7 linked regions of the Cricetulus griseus genome follow. The protein of the gene in region 7 purifies or fractionates together with the protein of the main gene of each other region. This does not show direct contact. Links are inferred from orthologs where the notes say so. Each region holds a gene or a part of one and is shown on either strand. Other genes may lie near its edges.

What was found.
Region 1: the proteins of Ezh2 (region 7) and Ctnnb1 purify together in Homo sapiens (affinity purification with western blotting; 4 studies listed by BioGRID, with this or other methods). This does not show direct contact. The link is inferred for Cricetulus griseus from reciprocal best matches to the Homo sapiens genes EZH2 and CTNNB1.
Region 2: the proteins of Ezh2 (region 7) and Trip12 purify together in Homo sapiens (affinity purification with mass spectrometry; 3 studies listed by BioGRID, with this or other methods). This does not show direct contact. The link is inferred for Cricetulus griseus from reciprocal best matches to the Homo sapiens genes EZH2 and TRIP12.
Region 3: the proteins of Ezh2 (region 7) and Phf1 purify together in Homo sapiens (affinity purification with mass spectrometry; 15 studies listed by BioGRID and IntAct, with this or other methods). This does not show direct contact. The link is inferred for Cricetulus griseus from reciprocal best matches to the Homo sapiens genes EZH2 and PHF1.
Region 4: the proteins of Ezh2 (region 7) and Usp44 purify together in Homo sapiens (affinity purification with western blotting; 3 studies listed by BioGRID, with this or other methods). This does not show direct contact. The link is inferred for Cricetulus griseus from reciprocal best matches to the Homo sapiens genes EZH2 and USP44.
Region 5: the proteins of Ezh2 (region 7) and Ybx1 purify together in Homo sapiens (affinity purification with mass spectrometry, with the first as the bait; 3 studies listed by BioGRID). This does not show direct contact. The link is inferred for Cricetulus griseus from reciprocal best matches to the Homo sapiens genes EZH2 and YBX1.
Region 6: the proteins of Ezh2 (region 7) and Phf19 purify together in Homo sapiens (affinity purification with mass spectrometry; 10 studies listed by BioGRID and IntAct, counting the BioPlex papers as one, with this or other methods). This does not show direct contact. The link is inferred for Cricetulus griseus from reciprocal best matches to the Homo sapiens genes EZH2 and PHF19.

The regions. Positions count from the first base shown.
Region 1 is NC_048597.1:228,017,470-228,019,732, reverse strand, and holds the end of Ctnnb1 (catenin beta-1), read right to left. Parts: intron 1,762-2,263; coding exon 1,553-1,761; 3' UTR 1,541-1,552; exon of another isoform or gene 1,122-1,540; 3' UTR 501-1,121; downstream 1-500. UniProt on the Homo sapiens protein: Key downstream component of the canonical Wnt signaling pathway.
Region 2 is NC_048595.1:436,881,013-436,884,512, forward strand, and holds part of Trip12 (E3 ubiquitin-protein ligase TRIP12), read right to left. Parts: intron 2,100-3,500; coding exon 1,927-2,099; intron 1,630-1,926; coding exon 1,556-1,629; intron 889-1,555; coding exon 689-888; intron 1-688. UniProt on the Homo sapiens protein: E3 ubiquitin-protein ligase involved in ubiquitin fusion degradation (UFD) pathway and regulation of DNA repair.
Region 3 is NW_023276806.1:232,131,055-232,135,005, reverse strand, and holds the start of Phf1 (PHD finger protein 1), read right to left. Parts: upstream 2,801-3,951; 5' UTR 2,642-2,800; intron 2,014-2,641; 5' UTR 1,998-2,013; coding exon 1,839-1,997; intron 1,755-1,838; coding exon 1,673-1,754; intron 1,590-1,672; coding exon 1,494-1,589; intron 859-1,493; coding exon 758-858; intron 669-757; coding exon 520-668; intron 372-519; coding exon 276-371; intron 142-275; coding exon 73-141; intron 1-72. UniProt on the Homo sapiens protein: Polycomb group (PcG) that specifically binds histone H3 trimethylated at 'Lys-36' (H3K36me3) and recruits the PRC2 complex. Involved in DNA damage response and is recruited at double-strand breaks (DSBs).
Region 4 is NW_023276806.1:159,842,046-159,845,545, reverse strand, and holds part of Usp44 (ubiquitin carboxyl-terminal hydrolase 44), read right to left. Parts: intron 3,097-3,500; coding exon 2,988-3,096; intron 605-2,987; coding exon 399-604; intron 1-398.
Region 5 is NC_048595.1:32,887,712-32,891,211, reverse strand, and holds the end of Ybx1 (Y-box-binding protein 1), read right to left. Parts: intron 1,698-3,500; coding exon 1,463-1,697; 3' UTR 1,432-1,462; intron 768-1,431; 3' UTR 387-767; downstream 1-386. UniProt on the Homo sapiens protein: DNA- and RNA-binding protein involved in various processes, such as translational repression, RNA stabilization, mRNA splicing, DNA repair and transcription regulation.
Region 6 is NC_048599.1:146,619,064-146,623,288, reverse strand, and holds the end of Phf19 (PHD finger protein 19), read left to right. Parts: intron 1-140; coding exon 141-236; intron 237-1,410; coding exon 1,411-1,753; 3' UTR 1,754-3,725; downstream 3,726-4,225.
Region 7 is NW_023276806.1:222,346,834-222,350,995, reverse strand, and holds the start of Ezh2 (histone-lysine N-methyltransferase EZH2), read right to left. Parts: upstream 2,801-4,162; 5' UTR 2,706-2,800; intron 1-2,705. UniProt on the Homo sapiens protein: Polycomb group (PcG) protein. Catalytic subunit of the PRC2/EED-EZH2 complex, which methylates 'Lys-9' (H3K9me) and 'Lys-27' (H3K27me) of histone H3, leading to transcriptional repression of the affected target gene.

The sequences.
Region 1 (2,263 bases), on a different chromosome or scaffold from region 7:
CAGGGCTGGAATGCTGGCTAACAGGTCTGTGTGAGAAATGTACAATGCCTGCTGATCAGACCCACCACCAGGCCAGCTCTGGCAGGCCACTCGGAAGGCAGCCCACTCTGGTTCTGATTGTGTTCAGATAAACACAAGCATTTAAACATAATTACTGGTTCAAAGGCGTGAAAAGATTGCCCTCTCCAAGTGAGCCACACTCGCAATGATGCTTGATACAAATCCAGGCAGTGCTTCCTTACTGCTCAGTGGGACGGACACTGTCCAAAGGGAGGCTTATTCGGGGTCCAGCTTTAGTGACTGCTCAGTGTAACACAGAGACTACTGCAGGAAGCCTGCTAGGTTCTTAGGCAAGAAGGGTGAGCTAAAACTAATAAATAACCCTTTGGTACTGGCACACATGCACTTCCTTCCTCTGGTGGGATGCTGGAGAAGGAACAAGCACTCCCCCTCCTCGAACCTCAACAACCATCTCGGGACAAACCAAAGTGACACAAGCGAATGAATTAAAAGTTTAATTCTGAACCATTTTTATAACCGTATCTCTTGAAGCATTGTATCACAGCAGGTTACAACAACTTTGGGATAAAAGGCAACTGGTAAACTGTCCAAAACAAGGCTCAAATAACACCTCTTACTGATTTACCCTACCGCACATATCCCCAATAAAGTTTTTGTTCAAAAACATGAAATAGATCCACCTGCTTATTTTAAGCATATTAAAAAGGAAACTAATCGGACCATTTCTATCTGTCTATTTATACAAAAGGCTACACAATGTTACACGTCTCCAGATTACGATTAGCGTGATTATGAATTAGTGTTCTACACCATTACTCAGTTCTCAGAAATCAGGAATCGCTGTAGCAGGTTCACTAGAACATAACACTACAAGACTTAAAACTAACAGTTACTGCAAAAAAATAAGAGCTACTTCAAAGCAAGCAAAGTCAGTACCATTACAGATATTAAAAAAAATAAAAAACAAAAAATAAAAACAAAAGAAAAAAAAAAAAAAAAAAAACAAGCAAGGCTAGGGTTTGATAACGCCATCTTGTGATCCATTCCTGTGCATTCTTCACTGCGTGAGTCACTCCCCAAATCCATTTGTATTGTTACTCCTCGACCAAAAAGGACCAGAACAAAAAGTTTACTTCGACTGTTCCCATAGGAAACTCAGCTTGGTTAGTGTGTCAGGCACTTTCTGAGATACCAGCCCACCCCTCGAGCCCTCTCAGCAACTCTACAGGCCAATCACAATGCAAGTTCAGACAATGCAGCTGTACAGAGAGAAAGGCTGCTATTAATTAATGTTGAGAACAGCAAATGTTACTCGTCTTGAGTGTAACGCTGCAAAAGCTGTGGCAAAAACATCAAAGTGAAAAACTTCCACACATGGACATCTCCTTCCAAGGTATGTATCTGTTTTGTGGCAGATTTACAAACAGGCCTAAAACCATTCCCACCCCACCAAGTCTTTCTGGAGTTCTGTAGGCAGAGTAAAGTACTTCACCCACACTGGCTTTTATAAGCTGCTTACCTAAAGGTCGATTTACAGGTCAGTGTCAAACCAGGCCAGCTGATTGCTGTCACCTGGGGGCAGCCCGTCCATGAGGTCCTGGGCATGCCCCAGGTCTGGCAGCCCATCAACTGGATAATCAGCACCAGGGTGGTGGCCACCCATCTCATGCTCCATCATAGGGTCCATCCCCAAGGCATCCTGGCCGTATCCACCAGAGTGAAAGGAACGGTAGCTGGGATCTGGAAGAGTCAGCGCGCCCAAGACAGGCAAAGGAGAGAGACAGACAGACAGACGGGTTAGCCATGTTTAGGACACCTTGCCAGGAACATGCTTTCTAGTCTCCTCTTCCAAGTAATTACACAACACCAGGCTTTCCAAGAGCTCCAGAGACTACCACACACCTGCAGCAGTTCACTGTGCCTGACTTCCTGCGTGTGGCGCACTCAGCAGACTGAGGCCTACCTGGCAGGCAAACTGCGTATGACCGTGCAGACGAGGAGCCAGAGAGCTCCAACAGTTCCTTGGATAAAGCCTCCAGGATGGGGTGATGGCAGCAGTACCTTATGCTGCTCAAATCTGGGTCCAGAAGGCTCTGATGGACCAGCTATGAACCACCCATCCTAGACCCCTCCCTCTAAGACAAAAGTATGATACTGCAACTTTGGAATTCAGGGACCACCTTCAAGTACAGCTACCACTTCCCCCAGGCCCAGGCTCTCAGACGAGTAGACCAGCTCGTGG
Region 2 (3,500 bases), on a different chromosome or scaffold from region 7:
GTGAAAATTATTCAAAAAAGCTAATGTCTATATTCAACAAAGCTAATGTGTAAGTCACAGAATTCCTAAGAGTTCTCTGAAGTTTACACTCTCCCTCCCTATCTGGATTCAGGGTTTCAAGAGTTTGTTTTCCTAAAAGAAAATATTAAGTAAGCAAGTTTTCCCAGGTTAGGAAATGTTCTCTTCTACTAGTGGCAGACACTAAAGGCAGCACAAAAGCTGTGTCCAAATGCCACAGGACTCAGAGCTATCAAACTTATAATCTAATACCACATCATTTTGACTCCAGTAAAGACCTGAACTGAGGGCTGGAGAGATGGCTCAGAGGTTAGGAGCACTGGCTGCTCTTCTAGAGGTCCCAAGTTCAATTCTCAGCAACCACATGGTGGCTTGTAACCATCTATAATGAGATGTGGTGCTCTCTTCTGGTGTGTGGCATGCATGCAGGCAAAACACTGTATACATAATAAATACATCTTAAAAAAAAAAAAAAAAGACCGGAAATGAATCAAAAAGTAGACTACTGCCTATAAACATGTTTTCTAGTAGACAGAATGAGGAATACACACATGCATATTAAATATGGAAAGGCTTAGGTTCTCCTCTCCTCATAGAATAGGGCCATGAATTTAGTAAGAATTCCAAAACAAAGATCATATACTTCCAAGAGAAACCAGTTCAGACTTACCATATTGTATGAGTCTTTGTCCAAATACCAGCTCTTCCCAGAGGATTGCTCTCATCATCAGTAGATTCCCTTTCATCTTCAGCCTGTACACTGAACTGCCGCACTGCTTGATACACCGTCATGTTATATGGTAGTAAATGTTCTCCAATATAAAACTGTAGCCTGTGCCTTACATTTCCTGAATTTAAAAACTGAGCAGCCTGAATAAAGCAAAGAAAGGTCCATATAAGCATAAGTACTGACATCTGTGTATTAACCAAGACATATCTGCTGGGAAAACAAGACCTGTGGTGGGTGTTTAAAACTACAGATCCTCCGGAAGCCCAAATCACTCACCTGAAATGCTTAAAGACAGAAATGCTCAGAAATTGAAATTTTTTTCTTTGAAGTGTTGTTTTTTTGTTGTTTGTTTGTTTTAAGTATACTTGCATATACACAAGGATGGGACCCCATGTCTAGACAATTCGTATTTTGCATCCACAGCTTTGAAGCCAACTGAATATTGGTACAAGTAATGTAATTTCCATTTTTTTCTACAACCTACCACATATTCGCAAATGCAGATATTGCATATGCAGCATCCATTTGATTTCAGATTTTGAATTCATTTTAGGGATACTCAACCTATATTAGTCTATTTTTTCCCTCTACATACACAACTAAAAATTATTCCAATTTATAAGCAAATTCAACAAGAAATTAGTAACAAAATGATTATATAAATACACTAAAATAAGTCACTAATTACTAGAACAATTACTCATTTTTGTGATTTTTTTCCAACAATGGTTGACATGAGGCCATTTGAATCCATGGAAAGCCATGATGAGCATATACTACAATACTACTATGTAAAAAATAACTTACCAGAGACTCATCTATTTCTTCATCTGATCCATCATCATCACTGTCTTCATCATCTTCTCTTACTCTTCCATATCCTAAGGGGGGAGAGTAGATAGTTATCTAGAAATTTTAGGTGTCAGATAGAAGTTTATACACATTGGTTAAACTTTTATTTTCTTAAAAAGAAGTAGACATTCTACTATACGAAAAAGAAAGAGCTACAAAATTCTGAAATACTGCCCATTAAGGAAGTTTAACATATGTCCATTTCTAGTAGAAGCAGATATACCTAAGGTATATCAGAAACAGCAATATACTCTCTAATGCTAATTTCATAACAACACAGGTAAAGTAGGTAGATGGAAAATACCTCTAACCACAAGATATCTTACCTCTAACCACAAGATATCTTTCAATCGCTTGCACCAAAGCCAGGGGATCAATCTTGACAGGACCGCCTTTCCACTGCTTCACATTTGCACAGTCTGGGTGTCTTTGTAACTGACATTTTAACTGATGTGTGTTGAAAAATTTTAAAGCTTGTGATCCTCTGTTGAGAGAAAAGCTCAAGATAATTTAAGAAAAAAGGTTATTCTATTATTTGCAGTCAACATATTAGTAGTTTAAAAAGATAACAAAAACTTCCTTTTCTTATGGTTCAAAGTACTTAAAAGATTTAACAACAAATCAAATTATTCAATACAAGTTGTTATAAACAGCAACTAAATGAGTTTTTTTAATTCAAGTAAAAGCATAAAATAAAATGATCTCTGGCCACTGTGAATTCATGTGATCAGTGGCTTACTATCTGAGCACACTCACTCCTGATGTATTTTGTGCTTCCCTACTAAATTCAAAAGAGGGAAAGAACCCTCTATTGTTTTTAATTTTACTTTAATTTCACTTGCAAAAATAAAAACAATAAATAATGATATAAAAATAAAAACTAGGGGCTGGAGAGATGGCTCAGAGGTTAAGAGCACCGACTGCTCTTCCAGGGGTCCTGAGTTCAATTCCCAGCAACCACATGGTGGCTCACAACCATCTGTAATAATGAGATCTGGTGCCCTTCTCTGGTGTGCAGAGTGTTATATACATAATAAATTTCTTAAAAATCAAACTAAATAAATAAATAAAAATTAACCTTCACATTTACTTTGCTACATACTTCTAAATGAATGGCTACATCAGTTGATAACTGTTTCTTCCTGTTCAAAGTTCTGACAAAAGTCAAATATAGTCAAACTTAAAATGTGGCTAATTATACAACTCCATGAAGCACTCAAAGCATAGTTCATATAAACTAAGACAAAAGTGAAATGCCTCAAGTCTTTTTTGTTCTGGTTTATGTTTTTGATACTCAAATATCCCAGACTAGTTCAGAATGGCGGCTTCTTATAGCTATTCATTTAAAAGGATGCAGCAAAGTTTTGTTTTTTTTTTTAATTTTGCTTTTATTTATAAGTGAAATCTAAAGCACACACAAAAAGAAAATAGAATTCATCTTCCTTGATTTTTAGATGACATTACGGGTATGCCAGCATGTTTTGTGACACCCTTTGTTTCATGACACTATTCCAAGATAGTATACTGATGCAGCATGTTATGCAGAAAACTTCAGCCATACTATGAACAGCATTATTCTACACATGACTATAGTTGTTGCTTAGATTCAAATTTTAAGAAATGCATTTTAAACACAAGAAAACATGGATTTTAAAAAATAACATATTGCTTTTTTCAATGAAGATTTCAGAATTCCCTAACACCAGTAAGAAACACAAATTTTTATTTATCAAACTTCAATATGATTGGTTACATGCTAAAACCCAACAAAACTTTATTGGGCCAGCCAGTGGTGGCACATGTCTTTAATTCCTAGCACTAGGAAGACAGAGGCAGATCTCTTTTGAGTTTGAGGCTGGCCTGATCTACAAAGTAAGTTTCAGGACAGCCAGAGCTGTTA
Region 3 (3,951 bases), about 9.8 Mb from region 7:
GAAGGAAGGAAGGAAGGAAGGAAGGAAGGAAGGAAGGAAGGAAGGAAGGAAGGAAGGCACAATCCATCTCACCAGCGAAGCTGTAACCTCCGGACCTTCTCAGGGCCACCCCGGCACACACAGCATTCAAATTCATAGAATCTGGACATGAGGACAGAGAACGCACCTCGTTCAACTCTACAAGTGGTAGACAGCGAACGCTGGGAGGCCTGGGCGTGGGTGGAGCACAGCAGGCGGGCGCCCTGGGCTTCCTGGACAGCCTCCTTTGGGCTCACCTGTCTCCGTAGAGGAGGGGCTTGCTCAGACACTGGGTGCAGGCCTCGTGGAACCACTGGAGACAGCTCCGACACTGCAGCATTTTCAGGTTCCACCTCAGGGGAAGACAGCCTGCCTGAGACCACCCTGAACCCTCACCCACCTCCCATCACCTCGGGGCTCCCCTCAGCCTGCCCCTTCCCCTTTATTCCAGGCTCTACCACCACAGCGTCCACCCCAGAACTCAGCACCCCCACCACTCACTCCCCGGGGCCTCCACAGTAACAGTAGCTCTGCTGTCGGTTGCTCAAGTGCCCGGCGTCCCAGTCCAGCCCCTTTAGTCCATACGGCAGACAGAGCTTCATGCCCAGCATGGCCCGGGCATAGGGGCCCTTCTTCAGGGCGCCCCCCCTCTGCAGAGGAACAGGTGGAAACCTCAGAGAGGCAGGAGAGAAGGGGCCATGGGAGGCTCCCATAGGAAGTGGCAGAGAGGTGCCTTTACCTTGGTGGCAATCGCAAAGACACACTGGCGGCAGACCCAGGATGTGCCCTCTCCTTCTCCAGGGGCTGGGGCCCTGGGAACGTGACAGTCCTGGTGATAAGCTGAATAAGGACAATGTTGAGAGTCAAACACTGTGTGCGCACCTGCATTGGCTTGGTGCTCGTACACGGCAGCCTTCCCTTGTGCGTTTATATCCTGACCATGGTCCTACTGTGTGTGTGTGTGTGTGTGTGTGTGTGTGTGTGTGTGTGTGTGTGGTGTGTGTTTGGTGGGGGGGCTGGAGAGATGGCTCAGAGGTTAAGAGCACTGGCTGCTCTTCCAGAGGTCCTAAGTTCAATTCCCAGCAACCACATGGTGGCTCACAACCATCTGTAGTGACATCTGGTACCCTTTTCTGGCCTGAAGTTGTACATGCAGGCAGAACACTGTATAATAAATAAACAAATCTTTAAAAGACAGAGAGAGAGAGAGAGAGAGAGAGAGAGAGAGAGAGAGAGTGAGAGGTATGTAGCTACCCTCAACCTTAGAGAGAGAGAGAGATGTATGTAGCTACCCTCAACCTTGCATGGCTTATGTCATCTTCATCCTATGGCTCCCTCTCCCTGTACTGAGATGAGGTGACAGGGTGAAGACTGGCCAAGATAGGAGACACAAGACCCATGCTAGGAAGACAACTGGCAATCCAGAAGACCCAGGGCAAACTGTACCATTCAAGTATCCTGCCCTCTCCTCTCACCATGACGACACTTCTCACAGCTGACCAGCCGGTTCCCAGGGACCACCGTCTCAGAGCGACAGACACAGCAGAGGAGCTCCTCCCCAGGGAGGGCAGCTGTGAGGGACAAGGTGTCAGGTGGCTTACTTCAGCCAGTGTCCCCCACACCCTCCAGCTTCTGCAGTTATGAAGGGTCTCACCCGGGCTGATGTCCTTCCATAGAACCAGAAACTGGGAATCATCCTCAAACTGGACCAGACACACCTCCCGAGCACTGTCCACCTGGAGTGGGTGAGCAAAGATTATAAAGTGGGAGCAGGAATCAGAGGGAGAGGATCCATGGTGGGGCCCAGAGTTGGCTCTTACCTTTTTGATGGTGCCTAAATACAGCAGCCCATCGGTCCACCTAGCCAGCACGTCTTGACCCTCCCAAAGTCGAGGTCTAGGGCCTGAGGTGGGAGCAGGGGAAGCTGGATCCCAAAGAGAGGGTGCACCCAAGCGGCTCAGCCGGGGGAGCTGCGCCATTGCATCCTGGGAGGGGCTAATCAGATACGATGGAAGAGTTTATGAATGTTAAGAAGGCTTGGCTGCTCTGTCTGCTTTTACTGTCAAGGATAAGGGACCAAGCACCTCCAAGCTCAGTCACTGAATCCTTTAGACACCTAAGGAGGTGGGTCACCCTGGTCCCCAGCCTGGTTCTCTAGCATCCCAGCTCCCTGGGGCCTTAGGGGAAAAGATGCTTTCAGAGCCAAGGTTACCATTCATTCAGTTTCGCCTTTCCCAGCTGTTTAGAGGTATCCTAACTGGGACGCTCGGTTGCCCAGAGATATTTTGGGAGCTTTTCTGGAGATGTTTCCCTGAGTAGAGACATCCGCCTCCCCAGGCCTGTGTGTCTCATTTAGAACCGCTGTCCTGGTGCCAGGTTATGTTAGGTCACCCTCAAATTTGAGGCTGCTTGCCCTGGGATTAGATAACTTCCCCGAGTGCCCCAGGAGGGGGGCGTGTCCCTGTCCAGGTCTCCGCTACCCTACACCGCCGGTCTGAGGAGGGACTCGAGTCCCCCCAGCCCGGATCCTAAGCCGGTGCCAAGAGGCTCTCCTGCCCCCTGCTGAGCATCGACCCCCGGCCCCCTCCCTGCCCCCGCTCAGGGCCTCCCGCCTCCTTCTTACCGGTGACAGCTGGGTCAGCAGGGAGCCAGCTAGGGGCAGACCCCAGAGCCCTAGGGGCGCGAGCCCCGGCGCGGGCGGAGTGCGTGCGGACGCCGAGGGCGTGCAGGAGGAGGCCGGGGGTCCCGGGGCCCAGCCCCTCCGTCCTAGCGGCTCTGGGGCGTATGACGCAGCAGCCAAAGCAGCGGCGGCGGCGGCGGGAGGAGTCGGCCGCGGGAGGGCGGGAGGGAGGAGTAGTGGGTGGGGAGCACCAGAGGGAGGAGAAGCCGGAGGGGCGGACAGGCAGCACCTCCCTCACCCCCGGCAGGCCCCGAGGGCACCGCACGGCTGGGGGCGCGGCCGGCCGGGCAGGACGAGGGGACCCCTGCAGCCCCCTTTCCGGACGGGAGGCTCGCCCCGGGAGCGGCAGGAAATAACCCTGCTGGCAGCCAGCCTGCAGGTCAGGGCCCAGCCCCGCCCCATGCCACATCCGTTAGCTGCCCCGCCCCCGTGGCCACTCCAAGCCCCGCCTCCGCACGCGGCCCCGCCCTCCCCATTCACACTTCCTGTCGCCCCGCCCTTCTGCGCACGCGCGGCCCCGCCTGGGCGCTGCACCTGGGCAGACAGCCACACCTCCTGCCGCGGGAGCCCGGTGCGGCTGCGCTCCTCCCTCCCGGGCGGGCAGGCGAGCGAGCGGGCCAGGGCCGGCGAGCGGGCGAGCCAGGGCGGCAGGGCCAGCACCCAGCCGGTGACGTGCCCACAGCCAGCCAATGGGCAGCGGGCGGCAGGGAACCGTAGTTCCAAGCGGTGGGCAGGCAGAGGGAGGGGATGCGGATCGAGCGCGCTGGGACTCACACCAGGCCCGGTGTGGCAGCTATGGGTGCAACACCCGCGCTGAAGGACAGCCAAGTGAGAGCCCAACAGAGAAAAGCCCATAGCCTCACTGTGCAAAGCACACGTCAGAAGCCACACTTCTGCAAGCTTACGGTATTTGTTTACAACCTACCAGGACTAACAAGACCTTTATTTAAGAGCCGTAACAAGGGCTGCAGAGATGGCTCGTCGTTAAGAGCACTGACTGCTTTTGCAGAGAACCCACAGTCGCTCACAGCCATCCATCAGACCAGGTCCAGAGGACCTGAAGCCAGCCCTCTTCTGAACTCAAGAAGCACCAGGCATACACATGGCGCACATGTACACACACCCAGGCAAAACAACCATGCGTAAAGTCTACAACAAAATTTCTTTATTTGATAGTTGGGTACAAATGATGTCCACCCAATAAAAGCGTATCTCTCACCCCCCTCTCCCCCCCAGTACACACAGAGAGAGAC
Region 4 (3,500 bases), about 63 Mb from region 7:
AGAGGCAGGGGTATCTCTTGAGTTTGAGGCCAGTCTGATCTACAGACAAGAAACCCTATCTCAAAGCCAAAAAAAAAAAAAAAAAAAAAAAAAAAAAAGATGCCTTGTATATGGCATGTGTCTTTAATCCCATTATTCAGGGGAGGCAGACACAGGCACATCTCCAGTTCAAGGCCAGTGTGGTATCCATAACAAATTCCAGAATAGCCAGAGTAACTAACATAGGGAGTAGACTGTTTTCTGTACTCCTGACCCCAGTAATCCAGCAGCACCAACTGCAGAAAGCCTTTGTCTAGAAAGAAGGCAACTGGTCAGGCGGTCAACTTAGAAACTGCTAGGAACCTAAGTATAAGTTCTCAGTTTTAGACCAAGAAAAAAATGGTTTTTCTTGGCTGTACCTCCTTCAGAATTGTAGCAGTAGGCAGTGTAGTGTCCTGAGCCAAATCCTTTCCCATGGTGGATTACTACAGCAGATAAATTGTAGATGAAGCATTCTGGTCTGAGAGCTTTCAGGGTCTCCCTGCAGCAATAGGGCTCCATGTTCAAGGTTTCCTCAAAGACAACATGAACACCAATCTTCTCTCGGTTATTACGTCCTGACCATCTGGGAACAAACAACAGTAAAAATCAAGGGGAGAAAGTTTGCTTTACATTAGGTCTAGACAGCTTTAAGAGTGGATCTCATAGACCACGAAATACAAAGAATTTGTATAGAACACACCCTTTCAATACTGAATTGGCCATAGAGGATTTAGGATTACTTTGCAGAAAGATCCAGCCAAGATTGCCCCATTAGTTTTAAGAATGCATAAATAGCTGGGTGGTGGTGGCGCAGGCCTTTAATCCCAGCACTTGGGAGGCAGAGGCAGGTGGATCTCTGAGTTCGAGACCAGCCTGGTCTACAAGAGCTAGTTCCATGACAGCCTCCAAAGCCACAGAGAAACCCTGTTTTGAAAAACCTTTATTGTATGCCCTATTCTTCCCTCCATACCTTCCTTGTTCATGTTGCTCTTTGGCTTAAGTGATCCTCCACTTATATACTTTATCTTTTGGGCATGCTGTATGAAGCTCAACACTGGGCCATGAGATACATAGGATTAAAAGGGGAGGGGGACATGGTTGAGTGGCTAAGAGCAGCTATGGGGTAAAGATCAGTTGTCCCAGGAGGTTCTGAAGAAGTGGCTGTTCAAGCATCAGAGAGTATGGAACAGGGTGGGTGTAGGTGTCCTGTGCTAGATTGTTAGGATCTATGCTTCAGATAGGACTCCTAAAGGTGTGGCCATATTATCTAAGACTTGAAAGGTTGAGGTCCCCAAGTGCCCTAAGACAGGCTCTGGGAAAGTTACACACTTTACCACCTTTCCTCAAATGTGACATTATTTCTATAATCCTGAGAAAGGAACCTACTATCTCTCACAGCATCTTAATTAACTGCTACAACAAACACCTAAACAGTCAAAGTTAACAGTGTACTGTAACAGTGTAATGCTGTACTTGAATTTAAGAAATTTAAGAAATTTTTTTTTGGGGGGGGGTGTGAGACAGGGTCTCTCTCTGTGTAGCCCTGGCTGTAGAACAGGCTGACCTCGAACTCAGATCTGCCTGTTTCTGCCTCCTGAGTACTGAGTCTAAAAGGTGTGCACCACCGTTGCCTGGCTAAGAAATTATTAATCTCAACACTGGAGAGAGCAGAGGCAGGTGGATCTCTGAGTTTTGAGTTCAAGGCCAGCCTGGTCTACTGAGAGAGTTCAGGACAGCCAGGGCTATACAGAAAGACCCTATTTTGAGGGGAAAAAAAAAAAAAAGTTATGTAAACTACTTTAGGAGCTAGCAAAGCAAGACAGCCTAAGTGGGAAAGAGTGGCTGCCACCAATCCCGTCAAACTGTTCAATCCCCATGACCTACACAGTAGGAGAGAGCCATTCTCAGAAGCTGTCCTCTGACCTCTCCATGTGTTTTGTGGCATTCTTATGTGTGAATGAACATGCATTTACACAAATAAATAGATACATGTTTAAAAAGGCTTTGAATTGAACTTGAGATTTTATTTGTTTATTTTTGAGTCAGGGTCTCACTGTATACCCTGTCTGTCTGTCCCGGAACTCACTCTGAAGGCCAGGCTGCCCTTGAACTCACAGAGATCCTTCTGCCTCTGACTCCCAAGTGCTAGGATTAAAGGTGTGTGCCACTACACTTACTACATTTTATTTTGATGTTCATTTTGGAAGCTGTTCATACTACAGTGTGTGAGTGAAGGCCAGAAGACAACTTAGGGGACTCAGTTCTCTCACCATGGGTGGGGTTCAGCGGATTGAACACAAGTCATCAAACTTGATGGCAGGTGTTTTGACCCTTCTCAGTAGCCCCCAAACTATGTTGATTAGTATATTTTAAGCAACTGAGTAAAATATACACATTACAAATTACATTTTTTAAAAGTATACCTGAGTATTAAACAATATATTAAAATATATATAGCAGGTCATAGTCACTGCTAGGATATGTGATATACTCTTATGAGTGTCCAGGAGACTGAGGCAGAAGGATACTCAATTTGAGCCAGCCTAGGGTACATTACATAGTAAGTTCCAGGCTGCCCTGGTCCTGGCTCAGAAAAGCAGTAACAAAGCTGGACAATAGTAGCACATGCCTTTAATCCCTGCACTCAGGCAGCAGAGGCAGGCGGATCTCTGTGAGTTCGAGGTCAGCCTGGTCTTCAGAGTTAGTTTAGGACAGTCAGGGCTACACAGAGAAACCCTACCTCAAAAAACAAACAAACAAACAAACAAAACTCAGTTATTAAATATGGATGATGCCTATTGTTCCAAGTTAAAGATAGTAACTACATTTTTTTGAAGGATGCCATCCACTAGCCAGGTATATAGTGTTCAAATTTAATCCGTCATATGTATATGTTAAGTTCTGAAGCATCCTAAACAGAAGGAATGACCAGATTACTCATAACTGGTAGAACTAGCATTACTGACCTGAATCGTTTAAGGTGTAGTCTGAGAACTTGAGGTAGGTGGCATATCATAAGCTGTTTCTGGGCTTCTGTGAGTACAACTGGTTTTGACGAAAACTTTCTACGCTTTGCTAAAATAGCAAAAAAAGAAAAAGCAAAAGAAAACCTCAGTTTCAAAACTACAAGGGAAACATGAGTAAACTCTTTTACAACTAATCTACTGTTACAGCATCACACTGTGCTAGATGAGCATAAGCTTTGACCCCAACGAGTGCATGATGTAAACAAGAAACTTGAGTAGTCAAGTTAGGTAACCCCAGGACTTAATACTAATCCTGTAAGGGGTCAGCAGCTGAGAGCAAGTACTTGGTTTTGCAGAGCATCCATGTTGAGTTCCAGGACCACAGGGAGGCTCACAACTGCCTGTAGCCACAGTAACAGGGAATGCCCTGCCCTCTTCTGGCCTTTGTGGGCTCCACACATGTGGTGTACTTATATACATACAGGCAAAAACACTCATACACATGAAAATAAA
Region 5 (3,500 bases), on a different chromosome or scaffold from region 7:
TTAGACTTGGTTGACAAAGAGCACCCACTATTCCCCATCCCAAATTCTCTAATGCAGTATCTTATATTCTATGGAGCTTTTATAGAGGGAAACATCACTTGGACTTTCAACAGCACTGCAAAACTCCTCTACCCTTTTACTTTGCAGCAAAAGAAACCTTTCCATCTCCAGACTCCACAGCTGATGTCTTACATAGAGCATTCTGGACAGACTAACTCACTTATACATAAAAATGGACAACTAGCTGATTAAGCACCCAGATAAAGACTCTGATCTTAAGAAAGTGTCCCTTTGGGGGGAGGACACCCATTTGTAAACCGCTTCACTCTAAAAATCGTGAAAATGGGAGGAAATTACCAAATTATGACAAAACTAGACAGACACTATTATTTAAGACCTTTATTAACAGATGCTTGCAGTTTGTTAATTTTTTTTTGAAAAAATCAAGTTGTAAACTTTTATTACAAATTAAAAATGAAGTTCTTAAAAATCTCAACTTGACCAGATATGAAACAATTTAAAAACCATTAAAGGTGTATTGAGAAAAACCAGACCTTTTTTTTTTTTAAAAAACACGTTTGTCATTACCAAAAAGAGACATCTTTAGGTAAAAATAATAAAAACCCCATGCTGCATAGATAATGCAGATAGTTCTAGTGTATCTGGTCAACGGGCAAAAAGCAAGCACTTAAGGTCTTCAGCTCCAATCTTTGTTCATTTCTTATTGCTGGAATTTCATATTCATTTCTTCTTGTTGGATGACCAAACTGCAAAGAGAAAGACTCATTATTTACCATATTCTTCACATAGTGGACCAATCAGTCACATTTTAACTACCTCATTTTGCTTTAGCCTAAGAATGATTCATAACAGGAGTGGACATTACTGCATATGGATGATCTTTTGCTACTCAGCACATACAAAGGGGAAGAAAATGACAAGCCCAGAGCCAGAGATACTTTCTTCTCTTTTCTTGCTTGCCCCCCCCCCCCCCCCCCCGCGTAGCCTTGGCCGTCTTGGAACTCAGATCCCCCTGTCTCTGCCTCCCAAGTGCTGTGATGAACGGTGTGTGCCACCACTGACAGGCTGAATTTAGTCTTTTATCGGCAAGTAAAGCCAAATGGAAGCTAGGCTTGGAGGATTTAAGGCTGGCTTCAAATTCAGAGATCTGCCTGCCTCTGCTTCTAGTGCTGGAATATATCTCCAGAGAACCAGGAGCAAGACTTAGTTTTCTGCTAAGATCACAGAGTTGACCGACAGACATAAGTTCATAGTCAAAACATACAACATGAAGACTGATCTAAAGGGAGACATTTTGTCTAACTTGGATTAGAGTGAACAGTAATAAAGTGCTTGTTTTACTCTATTACTGTTTTTAGTTTCTTTTGCACCAGTGCACAGTGCAGTGAACCGCAGAGGATGACTACTTACCCGGATGATGGTAGAGATGGTAAGCCGGCATTTACTCAGCCCCGCCCTGCTCAGCCTCGGGAGCGGACGAATTCTCAGCTGGTGGATCGGCTGCTTTTGTCTCTTTGCCATCTTGTGGTTTAGGGTTCTCTGGGCGTCTGCGTCGGTAATTGAAGTTGCGGCGATACCGACGTTGAGGTGGTTGCTGACCCTGGGTCTCATCTCCTTGATTTTCCTTGTCTTCTTCATTGCCGTCCTCTCTAGGCTGTCTTTGGCGAGGAGGGCCCCTGAAATGAACATTATATAACTTCAAGAGTGATAATACTTGGTACTTGGTTATACCTACCATTTTCTTTTATTGGTTGTTCTGACAGCTTAGCAAATGTAAATTACTTCCAAAAGCCAAGTGTAAAAGATTCTGTATAAAAGGTGTATTTCTTCATTTCATTCATATAAACCAAGGCCAGTAAAGCTGAGCTTGCTGCTTAAATGCTTGGAATTGAGTGCTGGTGCACTCAATTCAATACTTTTTTTACTCAACTTATTTTCTTGCTAGTAACTATTGTTCTATTGTATGTTCTAATCTATCATTTCTATTTATCATACACTAAAATTCTTGACCACACATTTTCTTCTTAACTCCATTCCATCAAAAGGATCCATACTTTCTATCCATGTGTCTTAAGATTTGTGGCATGGTTGGAAAATCATACCCTTTGTGCAAACTTAAAAAAATTACTATAAAATTAATTCAAGGGGCTGTAGAGAGAGATAGCTCTGCAGTTAAAAATACTTGTTCAGAGGACCAGTGTTTGATTCTTAGCACCAACATGGTGACTAGCAACCACCCCTAACTCCTCAGAACCATCCAGTTTCAGGGGAACCCACAACCTCTTCTGACTTCCACAGGCACCAGATATAATACATTCAGGCAAAACATTCACACACATACAGAACATTAGCTGTAACAAATCAAGGAACAAAAGCCTATGTAAGGAAGCAATCAGAGTGTTTCTCTGTAGTTTTGGCTATACTGGAACTCACTCTATGGATCAAGGTGTCCCTCACAGCCTCAAACTCAGATTTGCCTGCCTTCTATGCCTGGGATTAAAAGCCAGAAACACCACCACCTGGCAGTATCTCTAACTTAAACCACCACCAAAATATATTTGCTCAAGATACTAGTGAAACTAGCAAGAGATTTAAGCTACACTCGCACACCCAAGATTCTGTTGTTGACAACTATAGACTAATATATACTGATAGGAGAGCATGCTTTACGTTTTATACTTAGGCTATGGCAATGGGTGTAGCACTGAAGAATTTCCAAATCATTAAAAACATTAAGTCATCAACATTAAAAACAGAAAGAATTCAGCACAAGGACAACACAATCAAATCATATTCACCAGGGAGTAGTCCAGATGCCCCAGTGGTCCCCAAGCACCCACAATTCATGTTCGTAACATCAATTCCAGAACATCAGATGCTTTCTGGACACCATCATACATGTGTTACACGCAGGTAATGTTTCAAATAAAATCAATCTAAAAGTTAACCAAGAAAAGGTTCCTAATTCATCTGAATTAAAAACACAGGACAGGGCAAACCCTTTTAATCCTAGCTAGCACTCAGAAGACAGAGGCAGGCAGATCTGGATCTGAGTTTGAGGACAGTCAGGGCTAGACAGAGTTCCAGAACACCCAGGGCTACATAGAAAAACCCTGCCTCAAAACCAACAGGACAAGGACAGCAGGTGTGGTGTTTCACTCTTTTTAATCCCAGGCCCGAGGAAGCAGAGGCAACTCAATTTCACTGAGTATTGGCCAGTTAGAATTACATGAGGTCCTGTCTCAAAAATAAAAATCCAACCACCACAGGGCACATAAGCTTAGACACTGACCATGTTTTGGTACTATTGGGTGCTGTGTAACATGTCTTCCATCCTAGCCACTCAAGAGGTAGAGGCAGAAAGATGAGTAGTTTGAGGCTAGCAGCCCAAGCAACTTAGTTAAATTCTGTCTTAAAAAAAAAAAAAAAGAAGAAAAGAAAAGAACAATGCCAGGGAGAGGAGCCGGGAGAGTGATCAA
Region 6 (4,225 bases), on a different chromosome or scaffold from region 7:
GAAAATAAGACAGGCAGGCCTGGGACGAGTGAGAAGCTTGGCAGTGAGAAGAAGGTGGCCTCTGCTGGATGGAGGATGCCATGAGAGACATAGAAGCTGCTGAGCAGCCCAGCAGCAGGCTTGTCCTCTCTCCCTCTCAGTACCAGCTCAAGCCAGACAGTCTTCTCAGACGTGGACTCCACGGATGCTGCCAGCACCTCCGGCTCTGCCTCCACCAGCCTCTCTTATGACTCCAGGTGAGCTTCCTGAGGGCCTGCCCCAGAGCTTTGCCAGGGATCGCAGTCCTCACTGCTGTAGGAAGACTTACTCTGCACTTCCCAGTCTTGAGATAGAGAGGTAGGGGAGGGGTGCTGGTCTTCTGTGACTGAGTCTACTCTGGACACTCTGTTCCAAGTCACCAGAATGGAGGCTAAGGTGTTGTGATCCCTTCCACTTGGGACGTCCTTTGCCTGATAGCCGTGTGATCCCTCTAATCAAGCAACCCAATTCTGGGGCTGTTTTATCAGAGTCCTTTTCATTCTGGGTGTCTTGGCCTCTATGTGTCATGACTGTGTTTGTCTATGCCTCAGACTGCAGGGCTCCTATTATCAGTTCCTGGCTGGCTGATTTGTATGCCAGGGTCCCTAAGAGGAAAATCCATTTATTTTAAGCATAGAAGAGAGGCAGACTGTAGGGGGAGGCAAAAGACCCTGGTTGTCTGGCTAAGGGTATAACTTGTTTTACTGCCGGGCACAGCCCCTCTTTACTCGGGATCCTCCATCTTCTAGAGACTTTGTGGGAGTAGACTTAAACTGCAGTCCATGTCTATAAAGATGGAATCCCTTCTCTATTTTCACACGTCTCTGGCTGGCTGCCCTTCTGTAGCTTTAATTGGATTCTAGGGATCAAACCCAGGCTTCATGAATACTAGAGAGTGCTCTATCACTGGGCTATCACCCCTAGTCTTTCTGCTTTTTGGGTTTCTCACTAGTGCTTCAGGTCATGGCAGCCATGTCTCAGCATCCATTACCATGTAGCTTGTCTCTTGTATCTTTTTGCTAATACCCCTGCCTGTGTGGTGCAGGTCCTTCAGTTCCTTTCCCTGTGTAGCTCATCCAGCTCATCCAAAAAAAAAAAAAAAAAACAGGCAGCCTAAACAAGGCCTTTGACTGTGGGACTTTGGAAGCATACACAACCCACCCTTCCGGATACAAAGAACATTTGCTATTTAAGTTAAGCACACCCAGGTTTGACTCCTGGCCTCTGTTCTCTAGCTGATTTCTTCTCTGGAGCCTCAGTTTCCCCATTACAGGACTACTGTGAAGTTCCGGCAAGATAATTCACGCCCAGGTCCGGCACGGTACCTAAGAGACTCTCGGGGTAAGGAACCTAATCATTGTCCCAGCTCACCCCTTTTCCCTCCTGATACAGATGGACAGTAGGCAGCCGCAAGAGGAAGCTGGCAGCCAAAGCATACGTGCCCCTGCGGGCAAAGCGTCAGGCGGCTGAGCTGGATGGACGCTGCCCCTCAGACAGCAGTGCAGAGGGAGCTCTGGGCCCTGAGCAGCCAGATGAAGGCATTGACAGACACACGTTGGAAAGCATCAGTGAAGATGACTCCTCCTTGTCTCACCTCAAGTCATCTATCACCAACTACTTTGGTGCAGCTGGACGGCTGGCCTGTGGGGAGAAATATCAAGTGTTGGCTCGGAGGGTCACACCAGAGGGCAAAGTTCAGTACCTGTTGGAATGGGAAGGGACTACCCCTTACTGATTACCCCTCAGGAGCTACCTAGACCCCTGGAAACCAAAGGAGGGACAGAAGAAGCCATCGGCTCCCTGTTTTCTCCAGGCCAGGGTGGTGGAGGGAAGCAGAGCAGGGCCATAAGGGCCTGGCTATAGCTCCTGCCTGCTGCCCGCCAGGCCAAGGCCTGTGTGCTGCTGTACCGATTGCCTGTGTCTCTAGACCCCGCTGACTTTCTCATGCCCCTCGAACTGTTTGTTAGTTCCTCTGGCTCCATGGTACCCTGGATGTGACCCTTGGTGATCCTGAGGCCTGAATCTGATTGTCATTGTCCCCAGTTCTCTATCTTTTTACCTCACCCCTTTTGGGTATTTTGTGTTGTCACACATCTTCTATGTGCACATGTACGTCTGTCCTTCTCTGGGTTCTCACTGGGACCACACTGAGAGAAAGGAACCCCTGAGGGTCTTCCACTTTCTCACCAACACCCCTAATGCCAGGAAGGTGTCTGAGAAAATTTGGAATGCCTGGGACCCAGAGCCTGGGGAGTGATGAGCTGGGTCTCTGCTGAAGGGACCAGGATCAGGGTCTTTTACTGAGGCTCAGAGGGAAGACTATAGGGTCCCAGAAGTTTGTTCCAGCAATAACCCTTCTCTGTTGTCATGGAGTGGAGCCTGGCCTTGTTCTTAAACACTTAGATCTCAAAAGAAATGATGGGGAGCCAAGCCAGGTCAGTTTAAATCCCAGACCCATCATAGTCCAACACCACACCACTGTATGGACACACACACACACACACACACAGAGAGACACACACACACACACACACACACAGTCACATTCCCTCTGGGCACCCTGGCTCCTGTCCTTGACCTCTTCCAGGGATACATGCTGCTGGGATACATGCTGCAATTAAATGTGAAAAACAAACTCCTACCCCCTCTGGCTGTAAACCAGCCTTGACCCCCACAGAGAAGCACAAAAGACACCCCTCTCCTGAATAGCACCTGTCTCACCCTGGAACTGACAATCACTTTGGGGACAGGCTGGGGTTTTTTCAAGGGCCTGAATCATTCCCTCCTTTCATAAAGGAAGCCTTTGTCCTTGTGGTATAAAGAGAACCCTTAAAATGGACAAACAGCCCCATCTGGAGTGAAATCAAAATTAGGAGGTGGGCAAGAAGCCCTTAATTTGCCTGCAGCAATATTAGAACTTGGTTGGAAAGTGGAAAGAAGTGCCTTTGGGGTGGGAGGCAGGGGCACCAGATTGGGACCAGCCTCCCTGACTGCTGCTGTGGCTTCCAGCTGGGCAGGGTTTTGCAGGCTGCCAGCTGGAAGAAGAAGATGGCCAGCATGGGAACATCAGACCTGTATTAAGGGGGCTGATATTTCCATGACTAGGCCTGACCCCTCCACACCTGTCTGCAAGCATTCAGGGGGTCCCAGGAGTAGGTTAGATGGTCCTTGCCTTAAACCTCAGCAATTGTAGTGCCTTACAAAGGGACATCACCTCTCACTCTGGACACAGCCACCCATTTCCCTCTGCTTCTCTCTCTTGTCTCAGGCAAGCATGAGCAGATGGCATTGGTCCCCGTTCTCAGTCTCACAGCTGCTGCCACTGAGATCCCCAAGTGGGGCCAGGTCCCAGGCCAGCAGTAGTGTGGGAACTGGGGTCAGATTTGTGGCTTCCTGTTGGCTTCAGTAAGCATGCCAACCTCCAACATCTGCCCTCCAGGCTGCTGAGAGAGCCAGAGAGCAGGCTGGCCATCTGCCTTTCCCCTGCTGGGCCTGAAGAGCAGGAGAGGAGTGTGCTTGTTCCATTGGGGAAACCAGCCCAAGGCCTGAGCAGGTCACCTGACCCTCACACTAGCTCTTCACTCCCACAGATAATGGCTGCATTACTGCCAACTGACAGTGTAACCCTGTGCACCTTTGAAAAGATTTTGGTTTTGAATTGCTGCTTTGAATATTTGTTATATTAAAGTTATAATTGTTGTCTGGTTTACAGTGTAAATGTGTCCTTGGAAAAGCCTTCACATTCCACTCTTGGCGTCCTGGAGATTGACTGAGGATGTAAGGCCATCGAGGCCACCCAGCAACTGCTGTTCTCTCAGCTGGGTTCCCACCCTTATTGCCCTTTGACAACGTGGAACCTGTTTTTTCTCCCTTTACTGTAACAGCAAGTAACAGCAAGCATTGACCCTTAGGATTTAGGAATAAACCAGAGTGGTGCACATCTTTAGTCCCAGCACTCAGGAGGCAGAGACAGGTAGAACTCTGAGTTGGAGGCCAACCTGGTCTACAAAGCTAGTTTCAGGACAGCTAGGGCTGTTACACAGAGATACTCTGTCTTCAGAGAGAGAGAGAGAGAGAAAGGAAGAGGGAGGGAGGAAGGAAGAAAGAAAGAGGAAGGAAGAGAGAGAGAGGAAGGAAGAAAGAGAGGAAGGAAGAGAGAGAGGAAGGGAGAGAGAGAGGAAGGAAAAAAAGAAAGGAAGGAAGGAAG
Region 7 (4,162 bases):
TATTTAGACTGCCTAAAAATACTGTCAATTCTACCAAAACATAAGGCAAAAATCTTAGCCAATTCTTCAAAAAGAGGTTTTAAAAAATATCTGTTGCAAGTACAAAATAGCAAATGTCAACGATAGGGCAAGTCACATGTTCAGGCAAAACTGGCATTTTTAAAGTCTAACACCCAAGTTTCTACCAAAATTCTACACAACTAGCTCATGTCATAATGAATGAGAGTATCAACAGGACTTTAAAATAAATGTAAATCTTATTTTAGTTTCAACACTTAGAGCAGCACTGGAATGTCTGTTCTGAGATGCTCTGCTTGACAAATCTGAAGCACTAGAGATCTGACACTGCATCTTTGTCTCTCTCCATTTGTATGAAGCTGTAAGTTAGCAAATGTACTTTAGGTCTTCATTATATAAAACACTGCAATAAGCAGAGCCTGTGCTTTCCTTTTGCTTTGTTTTTTAAGAAGTATATTCAAGCACCATCAAAATAATAATTTAGGATGCAATTTTCCTAAGTGTTTCTGGGGCTTTAAATAGCTCATTCTCTAATATGACTCCAAAGAGAAAAAGCAGGAATCTTTTCGTTTAAGACCAGAATACAATCCTTTTCCAACTTGGGAGAACAAGAACAGGAAATTAAATTATGACCCAAATATTTCCACGTTTTTGCAAATAAAATTATGAGTAAATTGCTTAAAATATAGTGCTTTATATTTTATTTCTAAATATGGATTCACTGCTAATGTCCATTAATCAAAGGTAATTGAAAATAAATTCAAAAATTGCCAGAAATATAAACTACATTCAACTGTGACAGAATTAGCATTTTAAAATATTTTTCAAATGTTTTATGTGACATAAAAACCCCATAAAATTAAACTAATAACGACTTTTTTGAAACCGAGAAAGCCTTGTAGTAAAGTATTTTAAATATCAAAGGCAGATTCTTTACTTCAAATGAATTTAGGTTCTACAGATCGTATGTAATAAACAAAGGAAGTTTCATGGAATTGTGACCAGAATACATTCGAATTTCTTGGGTAGCAAACCTCTTTTCTGACTCAACAAAGCTATTGTTCAAGGGAAAACATGACCCACTAATAAGAAACTGTCAACCCTACTACAGTCTAAGCCCACATTTCTCGTGGGCATTTTATTTCGATCATCCAGTTGTATCATCTCTTCCACACTGAACCCCTGGAGATTCGGGGAATAATCGCTGAGTAAATGACAGTTGGTTTCGTTAGCACCTGTCGCCATTCTCAAAAGCAAACAAGTTGGCCTAAACAGCCCCTTTTTTAAACAACAACAGAAAAAAAAAAGATTACTCTTCTTTAGAAAGTGGAACTCACGAAACGCCCACCAAGTTTGGAGAAAGAAAGCCCGTGCTTTCTCAGTTTCTCCCATTTCCCAAAAAGTCGCCCCGCGCGCGGCACAGCCTGTGGTGCGCGCAGGGGGCGATGCACCGTGAGGCGAGCCCTCCGCGCCGGGGCCACCGAGAGCCCCGGGCGCAGCTCCACTGTCCCCAGGGAACTTAGCACAAAGCCAGGCGAGGAGGCTCCCCGCGGCTCTCGGGGAAATGTCAGCCTCGGGGCTGAGGGAGGTCCCACCTCGCTGGCGCTCGCAGTCCCGAAGCGCAGCGGCGGTGCCGGGTGCCGAGAGCTGCTCGCCCGCCCGCCCGCCCCCACCCCGCGCCCAGCCCAGCCCGGCCGGCCCGGCCCGCCCCGAAAGGCGAGCCCTGCCCACTCGCGCTCGCCTCGCGCCTCCCCACGCCCCCACCCGCGCGGCGGGAGCCCCGGGGGTCGCGCCCTCCCCTCCGCTCCGCTCCGGAGACACAGTCCGTCCTTTGTCTGAGTGCGGACTCCGCTCGGTCCCACCAACTTGTGTGTGGTGTCCCGTCCCGCCCGCCCGCCACACAAAGGAGACTTGAGGCTCGCAGCTGCCGGTCCCGATCGGCCACAGGAACGCCCCGGGCCCCGGCCCCGACGCGGGCCCCAGCCGGCCGGGCGGGATCGGTCTCCCGGACAGGAGCCCCCGCCACCGGCCCCGCCCGCCCGTGCGCTCGATCTCCAGGGACCCGCACAGGACACTCGCGGGACCGCGTGGACCGGCCCGCACCTCACGGCCCCCTCGGAAAGGTTCCGTCGCCCTCCCCGCCGGCCCCGCGCCGACAAAAGCGGCGCCCGAGGGAGCCCCGTTCGGGCGATGCCGGAGACCGGCCGGGCACCCGCGCCGAGGTCCGCGCGTCGCCGCCGCCGCCGCCGCCGCCCCGGGGCGCCGCGTTTCGGAGCCCGCACTGCCCACCGCCGGTCGCGAGCGCTACCTTCGCCCGCGCCGCCCCACGCGCCGCTCCCGCGCGCCGCTCCCGCGCGCCGCCCCCACGCGCCGCCGCCACTCCGCTGCCTTCGATGTCCCACTGGGTGTCGGACGCGACCGGACCGAGCGCCAAACGCAGCAGCCCAATCGCCATCGCTTTTATTAGCGCAATCAAGCGCCGCCCCGATTGGCGGACGCCGGAGTGCGCCCGTCCAATCAGAGCGCCCGACGCGCTGAGAGCCTTGCGCGCGGGCGCGAGTGGCGGGCGCTCGCTCGCTCGCTCGGAGGAGGAGGAGGCGGCGGAGGGAGGAGGAGGAGGAGAGCGGCTTGCGCGGTGGAAGGCGCCCCCCGGTCGCCGTCTTTGTTCTGGTGCCGGCGTCGGGTACCTGTCGGGGGCGCCGCGGGCAGGCCGGGGCCCGGCACTCGGCAGGCCTCGAAGCCCGCTGTGATGAGAGGAGGCGGGGAGGCCGCGGTGGCGGGAACCGGCCGGAGGGCGGGCCTGCCCTTGGCGGGAACCGCTCTCCAGAGGGGGAGGGGGAGGGGAGGGAGGGGGGGCGGGCGAGCGAGCGGGCGGGCGCCAGAGCCAAGTTTGAAATAGTTCAAATCTGGGGGAGGTGACAGTTGTAACCGCCATCTCTGGTGTGCACATCCTGGCTGGGCCCCGGGGCCCCTCGCTCGCACAGGAAGACGCGTGGCGGACCCCACGGGGCAGAGAAAGCGCGGTTCCTTTCGGCGTCTTTGGCTCGCAGAACCGGCTGGCGCCAAGAGTCCCGGCCGCGTCAGAAAAAAGCAACAGGACGGTGACTTCGGGTTTCTCCTGAACAAGCCGTGTTTGTGGTTTGCTCAGCTTTGTCCGGCTCCAGGTTGTTTATTAACAACTTCGGAGAGCAGATCGCCTACCCCCTGCTGTCGCGGGAAAGTGTGTAAGGAAGATTGCAACGTTTGTCAAGGGTTAGAAAACCACCTTGGGAGTCCCTCTGTCTCAACCAAGAGGAGTTAGGAATGTGCTTAGTATACACTCTTAACCCCTGTTGCGTTATCTGGCAGCTGGAGTGAAAGAAACTTCGAATTTGCTTCGTTTGTGTAGCCCTGGCTGGCCTCCAACTAGTTCTGGAGACCAGGCTGGCCCTCCAACACACAGAGATCCGCCTGCCTCTGCCTCCCGAGTGCTGGAATTCAAGGCGTGCTCTACCAGCGCCCGGCCGAATTCACTTTTAATAATATGTGTCTGTATGGCAAAATCCCATAGACCCGTAAAAACAGATTCAATAATGAAGAGTTAAGACTGAGAATTTGTAACACTGGAAATTGAGTTATGTATCTGTCGTGGTTCTCTAGAGGATCAGAACTGATAAAATGAATATATATGTATGTGTGTGTGTGTAGATGAAGATGGAGATATATGAGAATTGCTTACAGCCTGTGGACCAACTAGTCCAACAATTGCTGTCCACCAACAGAAAACCAAGAATCCAGTATTAGTTCATTCCACAAACCTGGATGTCTTTGACTGGTCTTTAATATACTGCCAGTGAGAGAATGGATTTGCCACCTGGAGCTAAAACAAGTAGGTTTAACTTCCCACCTCAAAAGATCCAGATTAAAAACAAATGATTTAATTAAAAAAATCCCTGAAGGGTACACCCAGCCTCTTTGAGTTTTAGTTAATTCCTGATATAGTCAAGTTGACCACCGAGAATAGCAGCAAAGCATCTAGTCCTTCATGTGTACTGAAACTATCCAATGCTGAGAAGTATGCTTAGAATCTCTAAGATTGAGAGAAAATGCAATTATGTCCAAATACAAACAAAATATGTACACCCAGAGTGCATGTGACAAATGC